Linked DNA regions of Caenorhabditis elegans. The protein of the gene in region 1 purifies or fractionates together with the protein of each later gene. This does not show direct contact. Each region holds a gene or a part of one and is shown on either strand. Other genes may lie near its edges.

Region 1 (5,033 bases):
ACTCGAAGTTTTGGAGGAGACATTCTGAGAAAAAATTGAATTCAAGTTTATAGTATGTCCATGAAGATCATAATGTTTTAAGATTTTCAAAAAAAAAAGTTCTTTAAATTTAAAAAAAAAACCGATCACTATAAATTTTTTAATCAGTTTCAAAATTTCACCTGAGATCCACGTATGCATCTTTGTAAAACACTATTGGAAAAGTATTCACATTTTTGTTTTCAACTTGATAAAAATTGCAAATTAATCTTGTAAATAAAAACAAAGACGTAATCAATATAAGAAATTTAAATAGTTTTCGCAAAATGGAAATCATTTGAAATTTGAGGAGCTCAGAGAAGAGTGTTGAAAAAAGGAGCTAAAACCCAGAACAAAGGAAATAATAATAAGGGTTTTGAATATTGTATGAGTTGAAAACGTTAGTTTTAAATAGAAAGTTGATTTTTAAATGTGTATGAATTTTGAAATGTTTTTTAATAATTTTTTTTTAAATTATTGATATCAATAAGTTGAAGTTGATATATTTATTCAATAAACCCGAATATCGAAATGGCTTTTTTTTCTTCAAAATCAGACCTTCAATCAATCGTTCTTAGTTTTAGTCTCTCTTCTACGGCAACATTTTCTGAAAACTGCTTTCAGAATAAGGAAGCCAATGTAGAATACAACTAAAACTACTAGGAACAAGAAGCCGATTACATCAAGAGAATGATATTGATAAAAGTTAAGCTTCTGTCCAGCTGGCACCAGGTTGTCAAGTGTCTTGAATTCCGCAAGAAACTCTGACCATTTCAGAAGACGTTCAGCCGGCTTCATTGGTTGAGCTCGAACCATCGCGGAGAGCCGGGTTACTTTTTGTTTGTAGCTGAAAGTTAGATATTGACATTGTTGTTGAAAATAAAATTGAAAATAAATTTCGGAAAACCAACCTATCATTCTCCAAAATTTCTCTAAGAGCTTCAACGACCGTTTCCTTGGAAATTGTTCCTTTTTCAATGTTCACAGCAAATCCATGTTTCTTGGCGATTTGGGAGTTTTTGGGCTGATCGCCCATGAGAGCAATAGTGATAAGGGGGACTCCGGCGGATATTGCTTCCTGGAAGAATGAATTTTAAAATTTTTGCTGATAGTTTACAGGCATGTCTTGCAATTTCTTGATAAAAATTTAAGTGAAATTTCACAACTGAATGAAATTAGAAAAAACGTTAAACAAAAAAACAGTCAATTAGCAGAAACTTTAATATTACAGTTACAGATCACAGGGTTAACAAAATGCACATACCTGCAAAGAATTGTACCCTCCATGAGTAATAAACGCTTTTGTCTTCTCGTGCAACAGTAGATCCTTCTGTGGAAGCCACTTCGACAAATGCACATTTTCCGGCAATCTATCCTTCAGATCATCTCCTTCATATCTCATGACAAACTGGTAGTCTGGTAGAGATGCAAAAGCTTCCAAAAGCGAGTTTTTCCAAGCCAAGGGCATTTCATGGGCAGCTGCCACTGAGCCAAATGAGAAGACAATAAGCCCATTTCCAGTTTCAGAGATTTTCTTGAACTCCTGGAAAATTGAACATGCTGAGACATGTTGATTTTAAAAGTGGACTTACTCCAGTCAATGGTTTAGCACTGTCAAATCCGACACCAAGCCCTCCAATATTTATCACTTTGGCCAAAGTGGGACGTGGTAGATCGTAGAGTTCATTGCTGTTTACAATTACCTGGAAAAAGTAGTTATTTAGGTATCAGGACTGTGCGGCAACCAAGATTTTCGGCAACCGGCAATTGCCGAAGTTGCCGGACCCAAAAAAAAATCGGCAACCGGCAACATTTGGTTGCCGAAACTTCGGCAATTTTTCGGCAACCGGCAACTTGGTTGATATTTACAAAGATGAAAGTCTTTGAAGTTAAACTGTCGTCCGTGATGTTTTAGCCTAAATATATTTACGTTAACACTCCTAAAAAATTTCGATTTTTTGAAGTTTTCAGCTAAACTTTTGGCATATTGCCAAGTTTTTCAAAAATCTGAACTTTTGTTCTAACGCAACTACCAAATTTCTTATTTAACTTCAATACAAAATAGGTGCAATTATAGCAAAAAATGCTTATGGTTTGCCACTTTTTATGTTTGTTCGAGAAGCTGACCATATCACTTACCAGTGGGCATTTGGCTCCAATATCCATGGTATGAGGAAAACTCGGATCATTCAATTCCTTTCGGAAGATTGCTGTCTCCTCGTCGGATGAGATTCTGAAATTTTTAGATTTTTTTTTCAAAATCCTGGCTCAATTCATACCTTCTGTGCATAACACTCATTAGCACATGACCGATAAAACTTTTTGTTCTTTGAACAAAACCCATTTCATCATGAGATGCCATCAATACGGGCGGTACATAGCTGGGAAGAATCGGAACTCCAACTGCCTGTGATACATAATCCATTAGTGGACCACTGTTAAGCCAGACCCAAGACGGAATTTTGGCGTGATGAATTAATCCAAGTGGGCACGTAGAGTAAATATGAGTGTATGCGACATCAAATTTCTCATCTTCCAGCCATTTCAAGAATTCCTTGTTGCGAAGAATGATTCGGCATCCATCTTGAAGTAGCTTTCCCATTCGACTGAACATTGCCATCATTTGAGGCATATCCTTAAGCCCCATGTTCTTGTATAACATGGCTGATTGTTCTTTTTCGATGGATTGCTTTGTGATTCCTTCAACAGCAGCGTCGAGTTGATAGGCTGGAAGAAAGTTTTGATACAAAGCACTAACACAAAGTTTCAGTACTTTAACATGTATTACTAGCAACTTATTCCTTTTTATTGCCACAAATGTGGTCTTTTTGAGGAATTTAAAGCATTGTTGCATGCTCGTACCAATACAATAAAATAAGTCAAATATGCATTTTCACTGCTTTTTGAAACAACATAAACACTTTCCAACAATTTTTGACAAGTTTTATTATATTAGTTGATTATTTTAGCACCATATAAAAGGTTATTAATTATTCTCCGACTTGTCGTATGCCAAATATCAACTCACTTTTAACACCTTTCGGTACTTTTACGTTTGACTCAAATCCAGCCATATGGTTCACCATTAGCATAGTTACGTCATGACCTCCAATTGCAAGAACCTCGGCTACTCTAGCGTTGAATTGAATCTAAATACATTTTTTCGCTTGATAAAATCGGTTTCTACTGAATTTTGGTACTTTGAAAATTTACATTTCCGAATTAAAACAATAACTAAAAAATCAAGTGAAACTAACCTGACTGTTAGCTACATTTGGGACAAATAAAACAAATTTGTATGCTGAAACTACTCCCACTAATACCAGAAAAACCGACAATACTCTCATTGTTGGAAATAACGGAAACTGAGATCAAATAGATGTTCTTTTATACACCTGCAGTACCTGGGTAAACACAAAAATGTTGGGCAATCTGCGTCTGGAGAGAAGAGACAGCCTTTTTTAATGTTAGACAATAGAGACGCAGCAAGAGAAATAGAAAACTGTGGTCTATAGTGATTTGTGGTTTATGTGTAGAAGTAAATATGACTGGACTTTCGATCGTTGGCCAGATAACTTTAATGATGCAAGTTGTACCAAAGTTCTTTCAAGGATTTTAGATTATCATATTGGAAAGTTAGGTTTAGTTAGGTTTAAGGTTAGGTTTAAAGAGAGTGCCAAAATCTGAGACTTGGGTTTTTATACTGAAAATACGATTTTTTCCTGAAAAATTTTCAGAACGTTTTTTTACAAAATTCGGTAGATTTGGGCCATTTTGGATCTAAAAAAGTAAAGCTTGGTAATTTTGGTAAATTTTCCTTTGTAGTCCAACTAGTATATTAGATTTTTATTTATTTATTTTGTAATTCAGGTGAAACTCAACCAACATCATTAAACTTCTATCATGAAATTAAATTGACCAGAAGTTCTTGGGAACGAAGAGACGTAGTAAGCGAGACAAAGTTGTGGTGTGTGACAAACTGTACTTATTCGGTACAGATTTTTGTTCTTAAAAGGACAATTTTATTGTGATCAAATTTTGGGATCTGACCAACTGCTAAACGCTTCATTCAGTCACGTGGTACCAGGTTGTCCCATCACCGTTTGATCTACAAAAAATGCGGGAATGTTTTACTCAAAAAATATGTGACGTTAGCAGTTCTTAACCATGCAAAATCAATTAAAAACTCTGCGTCTCTTCTCCCGCATTTTTTTGTAGATCTACGTAGATCAAGCCAAAATGAGACACTCTGGCATCACGTGGTAAGTATATTAGAGCTTCTGGGCCAATCCAGAGATGCCAAAGTTTAGCAAAAGTTGAGGATAGCCCTTGATTGAGGGGCTGTACAAAATTCACACTGAAAACTGCTGAAAGTTGTCTAAAGTTGGTTGAGAAATTGTGGCAAATTGGCGCGTTTATGCACCTTTTTATTTTCCACTACAAAATTATTTTAAGAAACTAAAATATAGGCTCTTTAGAATTTGAAGCTTCATAAATTTCTTTTTTTTTCATCAAATGAACATATGAGTAAAATTTGGCACTTGATCAGTAGGACTGAGATCGTGGCAAGACCCACTCGGAATAACAACGTGTGCTTTTAGACCTGCCTGTAAACACAGTAGTTAAAAGAAAAGCCACCGACATCTCGCTGGCACAAGCTTGTGAGATGTCGGCCGCCAAAATAGATTAGTATTTATAACAACTATTTATTATCAAACTAAAATTTAGGTTAAACTACAAAAATGCCTTCAGTCGTATCGTACACCCAATCCGTCAATGGTTCCATCCACTGCTTACAGTACTCTACCGTACTCCTACACTTTCCCTCTCCAACTATTTTCGTGATACACTGATTCAAAACGTGTAGGTATGTTGAGTTGTAAGGTGGTATCGATGAGCCGAACACTTTTCGAAGTGTCTTTTGGATTCGTTTGATGTGCAGGTTTGGGTAAGAAGTGAATAGACTGTAAGGCTTCTGGACTTCCTTTGCAGGATCTGTGTAGCTATTGTGACGA
Region 2 (5,339 bases), on another chromosome or scaffold:
ATTTATCGATTTTTTGCTAGTTTTCAATGAAAAATCGATAATTTATTGATTTTTCACTCTTTTTCCGATAAAAATAGTTTTATTATTGATTTTTCAGTGGCAATTTTCAAAAAATCGCAATTAAAATGTCCTTTTTGTGATACTTTTTGAAAAAATCGATACTTTATTGATTTTTCAACAAAAAAATTGATAAATCATTGATTTTTCGCTATTTTAAACGAAAAATCAATAAATTATCGATTTTTCATTGAAAAATAGCAAAAAATCAATGATTTATCGATTTTTCAATGGAAAATTGTTGAAAAATCGATAAAAATATCGAATTTCAGTCGATTTTTCACAATTTTCCGGTGATTTTTCGCGATTTCCACATTTTTCCGTCAAATTTCCTTTTTTTTTCTAAAAAAAAACGTAGAAAATCTATAAAAATTGATTTTTCAAAAAAAAAAAATTTCTTCGAAAAATGTTAATTTTCAGCCGAATTTTCTCGATTTTCCCCCGAAAAAAAAAAGCTCATTTTTTTGCAGAGCCGCTCGTGGCCAATTTGGTTTGGATCAGGCGTCGGTTTGGGCACCGGATGGTCGAATTGCCGTCACGATTTCGCTTCGCCGTACGTTTTGCACGGAAAACGTGTTCCAGCTGGACAGGATTCGCAAGGAAAACCGGCATACAATATTATCACCGAACAACACAAGCAATAGAGAAAAGAAGAGATAAATTTTCGATTTTTTTGAGATTTTTTTGAATTTCCGCCCGCCACCCCGCTTTTTTTTGTTCTCTCTTGTGTCGAAAAATAGGAAAATGTGTGAATAAACTTATGAAAAAATATCGATTTTTTCGGATTTTCACATGGAAAACGGAACATTTTCAGATTTTCAGATTCAAATTCGAAATCCCCGCAAAATTTTGAGCTGAAAATTTAGGATTTGACTAAGAAAATAGCGAGGAATTCGAATTTCGCATTAAAAATGCACAGAAATTATTCGGAGCTCTCAAAAAATGAGCAAATTTTCAGAAAACGGAACAAAAATTTTGAATTTTGACGGGTTAACCGAAAATTTGAAAATTGCAGTTTTCTATAAGAAAAAAAATCGGGAAATGGATGGAAAAGACAGATTTTTCATTTTTACATCAAAAATTTAAGAAAATTCTGTTTAAAACTGCTAAAAACCGATTTCTTTGCAAAACCCTGTTAAAATATGATTATTTCCAATTTTCGAGCTCAAATTCGAGTTCCCCACAAAATTTCAGGCCAAAACCCGAAAACTAGAGGTTTCTAGTTCAATTTTGAATTTTCCCGGATTACGGTAGCGCCAAAAGTACGCAAACACCGACTACCAGTACTTCTACAGTACCCCTATATTTCTAAACCCCTGCAAATCTTTAAAATACGCCTGAAATCCATGAAAATTATAAAAATTCGGCTGAAAATTGTGAAAATATCCATATCACGTGTAATTTAAATAAAAGAAATCAATGAAAATTTAATTTAATTTTAAATTGATGACGTGTAAATGATCTTTCAAAAAAGAAGAAAATTTCCGTATGACCTCCCGTGTTATTGTTTTCCACATCCTTATCTCGTGAATTTGATCAGTTTGGAAATCAATCAATAATCAGTTTCAACTTTTTGCCCGACTGGAGGATGTGCCTGCCTACCATTAAAGCATTCAAGACAATTCTGGACGCCGGGAGCCACCGAGCAACTCAACTGGTGCCGTTGAAGAAGCTGAAGGCCGAGTTTCAGCTGAAAAGTGATATTTGTGAGTTTCTATGTTTCAGAAAAATCTGAAAATTTCCAATTTTCAGATGTCAAACTCGAATATCTCAACATCTCCGGGTCGCTGGAAGATCGTGCGGCTCACCGAGCATTTGAGGTGAGAAAACGGAGAACAATTGGGAAATGTCAATTCAAAATTCGAATTCCTTGCAAAATTTCAGTCTGGGACTGCAGAAACTAGCTGAAAATCGCTTCATTTTGAAGAATTTCCAGCTTCGACCGCGACGCGGCCGCAACGCGCGGAAAAATTGCCGAATTTCTGGTTTTTAACCGAATCTGGTCGATATGGGGTTTAAAATTTAGCAAATTTTGCGGGAAATTCGAATTTTTTAGTTAAAATTTTCCACATTTCCGGGAATAGTCACAAAATTATAGGTGTCAGTTAAAATTTTTGGTCACAATGGACTAAAAATAATTTTTACCAATTTTCGCTGCTAAATTCGAATTTATCTTAAAATTTCAGTCGGAAAATCGAAAACTAGAGGTTTCTAGCTCAATTTTGAAATTTCTCGGGGTACGGTAGCGCCAAAAGTACGCAAACACCGAATTTCACGCGATTTTCGAGTTTTGAGCTGAAAATTGAGTTTTAGACTCAGAAAATGGCGAGGAATTCGAATTTGATAATAAAAAATCCCAGAAAGTAATCTAAAATCTCAAAAACAAATTTTTTTAATTGATTTTTTCTTTTTCAGATGTCCAACGGAATCCAACGAGGCGACGAGGTCTACGTGACCGCCGGCGGATCATCTGCAGTCTCCTATGCCACCGTGGCAGCCGTCAAGGGGGTCAGACTAACCGCCCACGCACCTCCCGGAGCATTCGACCAGGTCAGGACGATTCTGAGCACTTTGGGAACCAAGATCGTGGAGCTCCCGGTTTCAAACTTCCGAGAAGCTCGGCTCCAGGCTGATCTACTGGCCAAGCGTCGAGGTGTCTACAATCTTGATGGGATCTGCGAGAAAGCCGCGTTTCTGGCGAATCTTGAAGGAACTGCACCGGAGATTGAGAAGGCTGGGAAGACCAGTGCAGTTGTGGTACCCCTGGATGCTGGTGGAGCTTCAGCGGCAGCAGGGATCGCTGCTTACTTCTTAAAGGATCAGAAGACAACAGTGGTCGGAGTGAGATCTTCAGCTTCAGCTTCAGCTTCAGCTCCAGCTCCAGAAACAGAAGTTCTTCTGCAGAAGTACAAGGTGGAAATCCGAGATGCTCCTGAATCCTACACCTTCACCAGACACCTCATCGAGACGGAAGGGATCATGGCTGGACCATCTTCCGGAGCGGCAGTGCTGGAAGCCATCAAACTCGCCAAGGATCTTCCAGCCGGGTCAGTGGTCGTGGTGGTTCTGATGGATGGAATCAGGGACTATCTAGATGCTGATTGGATGAAGGTGAACGGCAAGAAGCCTATCAAGCCTCGTGAGATCTTCGACCCGAAGGTGCTGGACTACGATCCGACGAAGATGGTCGGGGAGTGGAAGAGTTCCAGCAAGTTCAGGTAGGTTATAGGATCTGAGATTTAGCAGAAAATTTGATTTTCAGGCCGGAAAGACCACTGGTTCTCGACTCAGTCCTCGATGCGATCGGCAAGACGCCACTGGTGAAGCTTCAGCACGTTCCGAAGGCTCATGGAGTCAGGTGCAATGTTTGTGAGTTGGGAATTCCTCTGTCCGGTCTAGTCTAGTCTAGTCTAGTCTAGGCTAGTCTAGTCTAGTCTAGTCTAGCCTAGCCTAGTCTAGTCTAGTCTAGTCTAGTCTAGTCTAGTCTAGTCTAGTCTAGTCTAGTCTAGTCTAGTCTGGCCTGGCCTGGTCTGCCAAAAATCCTCATCTTGGACAATTTCAGATGTCAAATGCGAGTTCCTCAACGCGGGCGGCTCCACCAAAGATCGAATCGCTAAGAAAATGGTCGAAATTGCTGAGAAAACCGGCAAACCCGGAGCACTCACCCCCGGAGCCACCACCCTCATCGAGCCCACCTCTGGCAACACCGGGATCGGCCTATCCCTGGTCGCGGCGGTCCGTGGCTACAAATGCCTGATCACGATGCCTGAGAAGATGTCCAAGGAGAAGTCGACGACGCTGTCGGTGCTAGGATCCACGATTGTCCGGACTCCCAACGAGGCGGCCTTCAACAGCCCGAGCTCTCACATCGGAGTGGCTCTTCGCTTGAAGCATGAGATTCCGGGTGCGGTGATTCTCGATCAGTACTGTAATCCGGGGAATCCACTGGCACACTATGAGGAGACTGCGGAGGAGATTTTGTGGGATATGGGGGATCGGAAGATTGATCTAGTGGTGAGTAGGAACTTCGGATCAAGCTTCAACTGTTACTCTTACAGGTCCTTGGCGCAGGAACCGGTGGTACCATCACCGGAATCTCTCGGAAGATCCACGAGCGCCGTCCCAACGCGATCGTCGTCGGCGTTGACCCGAATGGATCAATCCTGACCGGCCCGACGACTGGACCCGCTCCAGATTTCTACGAGGTTGAAGGGATCGGCTACGACTTCATCCCGGGGACCCTGGACGAAAAATCAGTAGATTCCTGGCTAAAATCTGATGATAAGGAGTCATTCCTGATGGCTCGAGAGATCATCAGAACCGAGGGGATCTTGTGTGGAGGATCGTCGGGATGCGCGGTGCATTACGCGTTGGAGCAGTGCCGGAAGCTGGATCTGCCGGAGGATGCGAATGTCGTTGTGCTGCTTCCAGACGGGATTCGGAATTATCTGTGAGTTGTCTGGGCCTGGGGCCTACAAAATTAGGCCCAGCTTGCTTTGAGGTCTATTTGCTGTTTGATCTCTGAAAATTGCGGGAAACCTATAGTTTTTGTCGTTTTTAGAGGTCAAAATACTACTCTGTAGCCCCGAAAGCCAAGCTTAAACATAATTTTTCAGCACCAAATTCCTCGACGACGACTGGATGAAAGCCCGCGGCTTCTTGTAAATTGTGACCTAAAAAAATACTTGAAATTGGAATTATGAACTGAATTTTTGACATGAATGAAGATTTTTCTCTTTTTAACCGAGTGCAATCGCGCTCCATTGATATTTTTCCAGATAATTGGGCTTTTTTCCCGAGTTTTTTGAGATATAACCGATTTTTCATTAAAATCGATGAATTTTAGTGGTTTTTGCATTAAAAATGACCGAAAATGCATTTTTCCAGCAATTCGCCCTGTAAAATTAGTGAAAATATGGATTTTTCGTCATATTCCCTGCAAAATAGACAACAGAAGCCATAATTCAAATAACAGAAGCCATATTCGCCGTCCAGCTCAATCGCGCTCCACCGCACCACACTCAAATCCCCCTGCCACCCCGGCACGCGAAGGGGGCCCGGACAATGAGACACCCTGCACACTTACTCTCGCCGCCTCTCGCTCTCTCCGCTCTCGCATTTTCTATTGATTTTCCTCTTGTTTCCTCGAATTTTTTAGTATTCTAGAGCAGAATTTGGTGTTTTAAATCAATTTTTTTATATTTTAGAGCTCGAAATTATGACTTCTCTCGTGTTTAATGACAAAATGATGGCGGAAGAGGGTATGATGGTTCCACAAGCGG

The links. Proteins that work in one complex are often made in the same cells at the same time.
Region 2: the proteins of ugt-61 (region 1) and cbs-2 fractionate together in Caenorhabditis elegans (co-fractionation; one large-scale study listed by BioGRID). This does not show direct contact.

Annotation. Positions count from the first base shown.
Region 1 is NC_003283.11:4,740,852-4,745,884, reverse strand, and holds ugt-61 (UDP-glucuronosyltransferase), read right to left. Parts: upstream 3,431-5,033; 5' UTR 3,366-3,430; coding exon 3,276-3,365; intron 3,168-3,275; coding exon 3,047-3,167; intron 2,746-3,046; coding exon 2,298-2,745; intron 2,252-2,297; coding exon 2,158-2,251; intron 1,722-2,157; coding exon 1,611-1,721; intron 1,562-1,610; coding exon 1,283-1,561; intron 1,097-1,282; coding exon 930-1,096; intron 866-929; coding exon 583-865; 3' UTR 512-582; downstream 1-511. Other genes in the region: gtnt-11 (Glycosyltransferase family 92 protein), read right to left, coding at 1-24, 162-316; gtnt-28 (Glycosyltransferase family 92 protein), read right to left, coding at 4,748-5,033.
Region 2 is NC_003280.10:2,219,847-2,225,185, reverse strand, and holds cbs-2 (Putative cystathionine beta-synthase cbs-2), read left to right. Parts: upstream 1-1,618; 5' UTR 1,619-1,645; coding exon 1,646-1,763; intron 1,764-1,809; coding exon 1,810-1,877; intron 1,878-2,472; coding exon 2,473-3,275; intron 3,276-3,319; coding exon 3,320-3,426; intron 3,427-3,619; coding exon 3,620-4,071; intron 4,072-4,115; coding exon 4,116-4,507; intron 4,508-4,553; exon of another isoform or gene 4,554-4,673; coding exon 4,674-4,722; 3' UTR 4,723-4,790; downstream 4,791-5,339. Other genes in the region: F54A3.5 (MICOS complex subunit Mic10), read left to right, coding at 528-701; Y59C2A.3 (Trichohyalin), read left to right, coding at 5,276-5,339.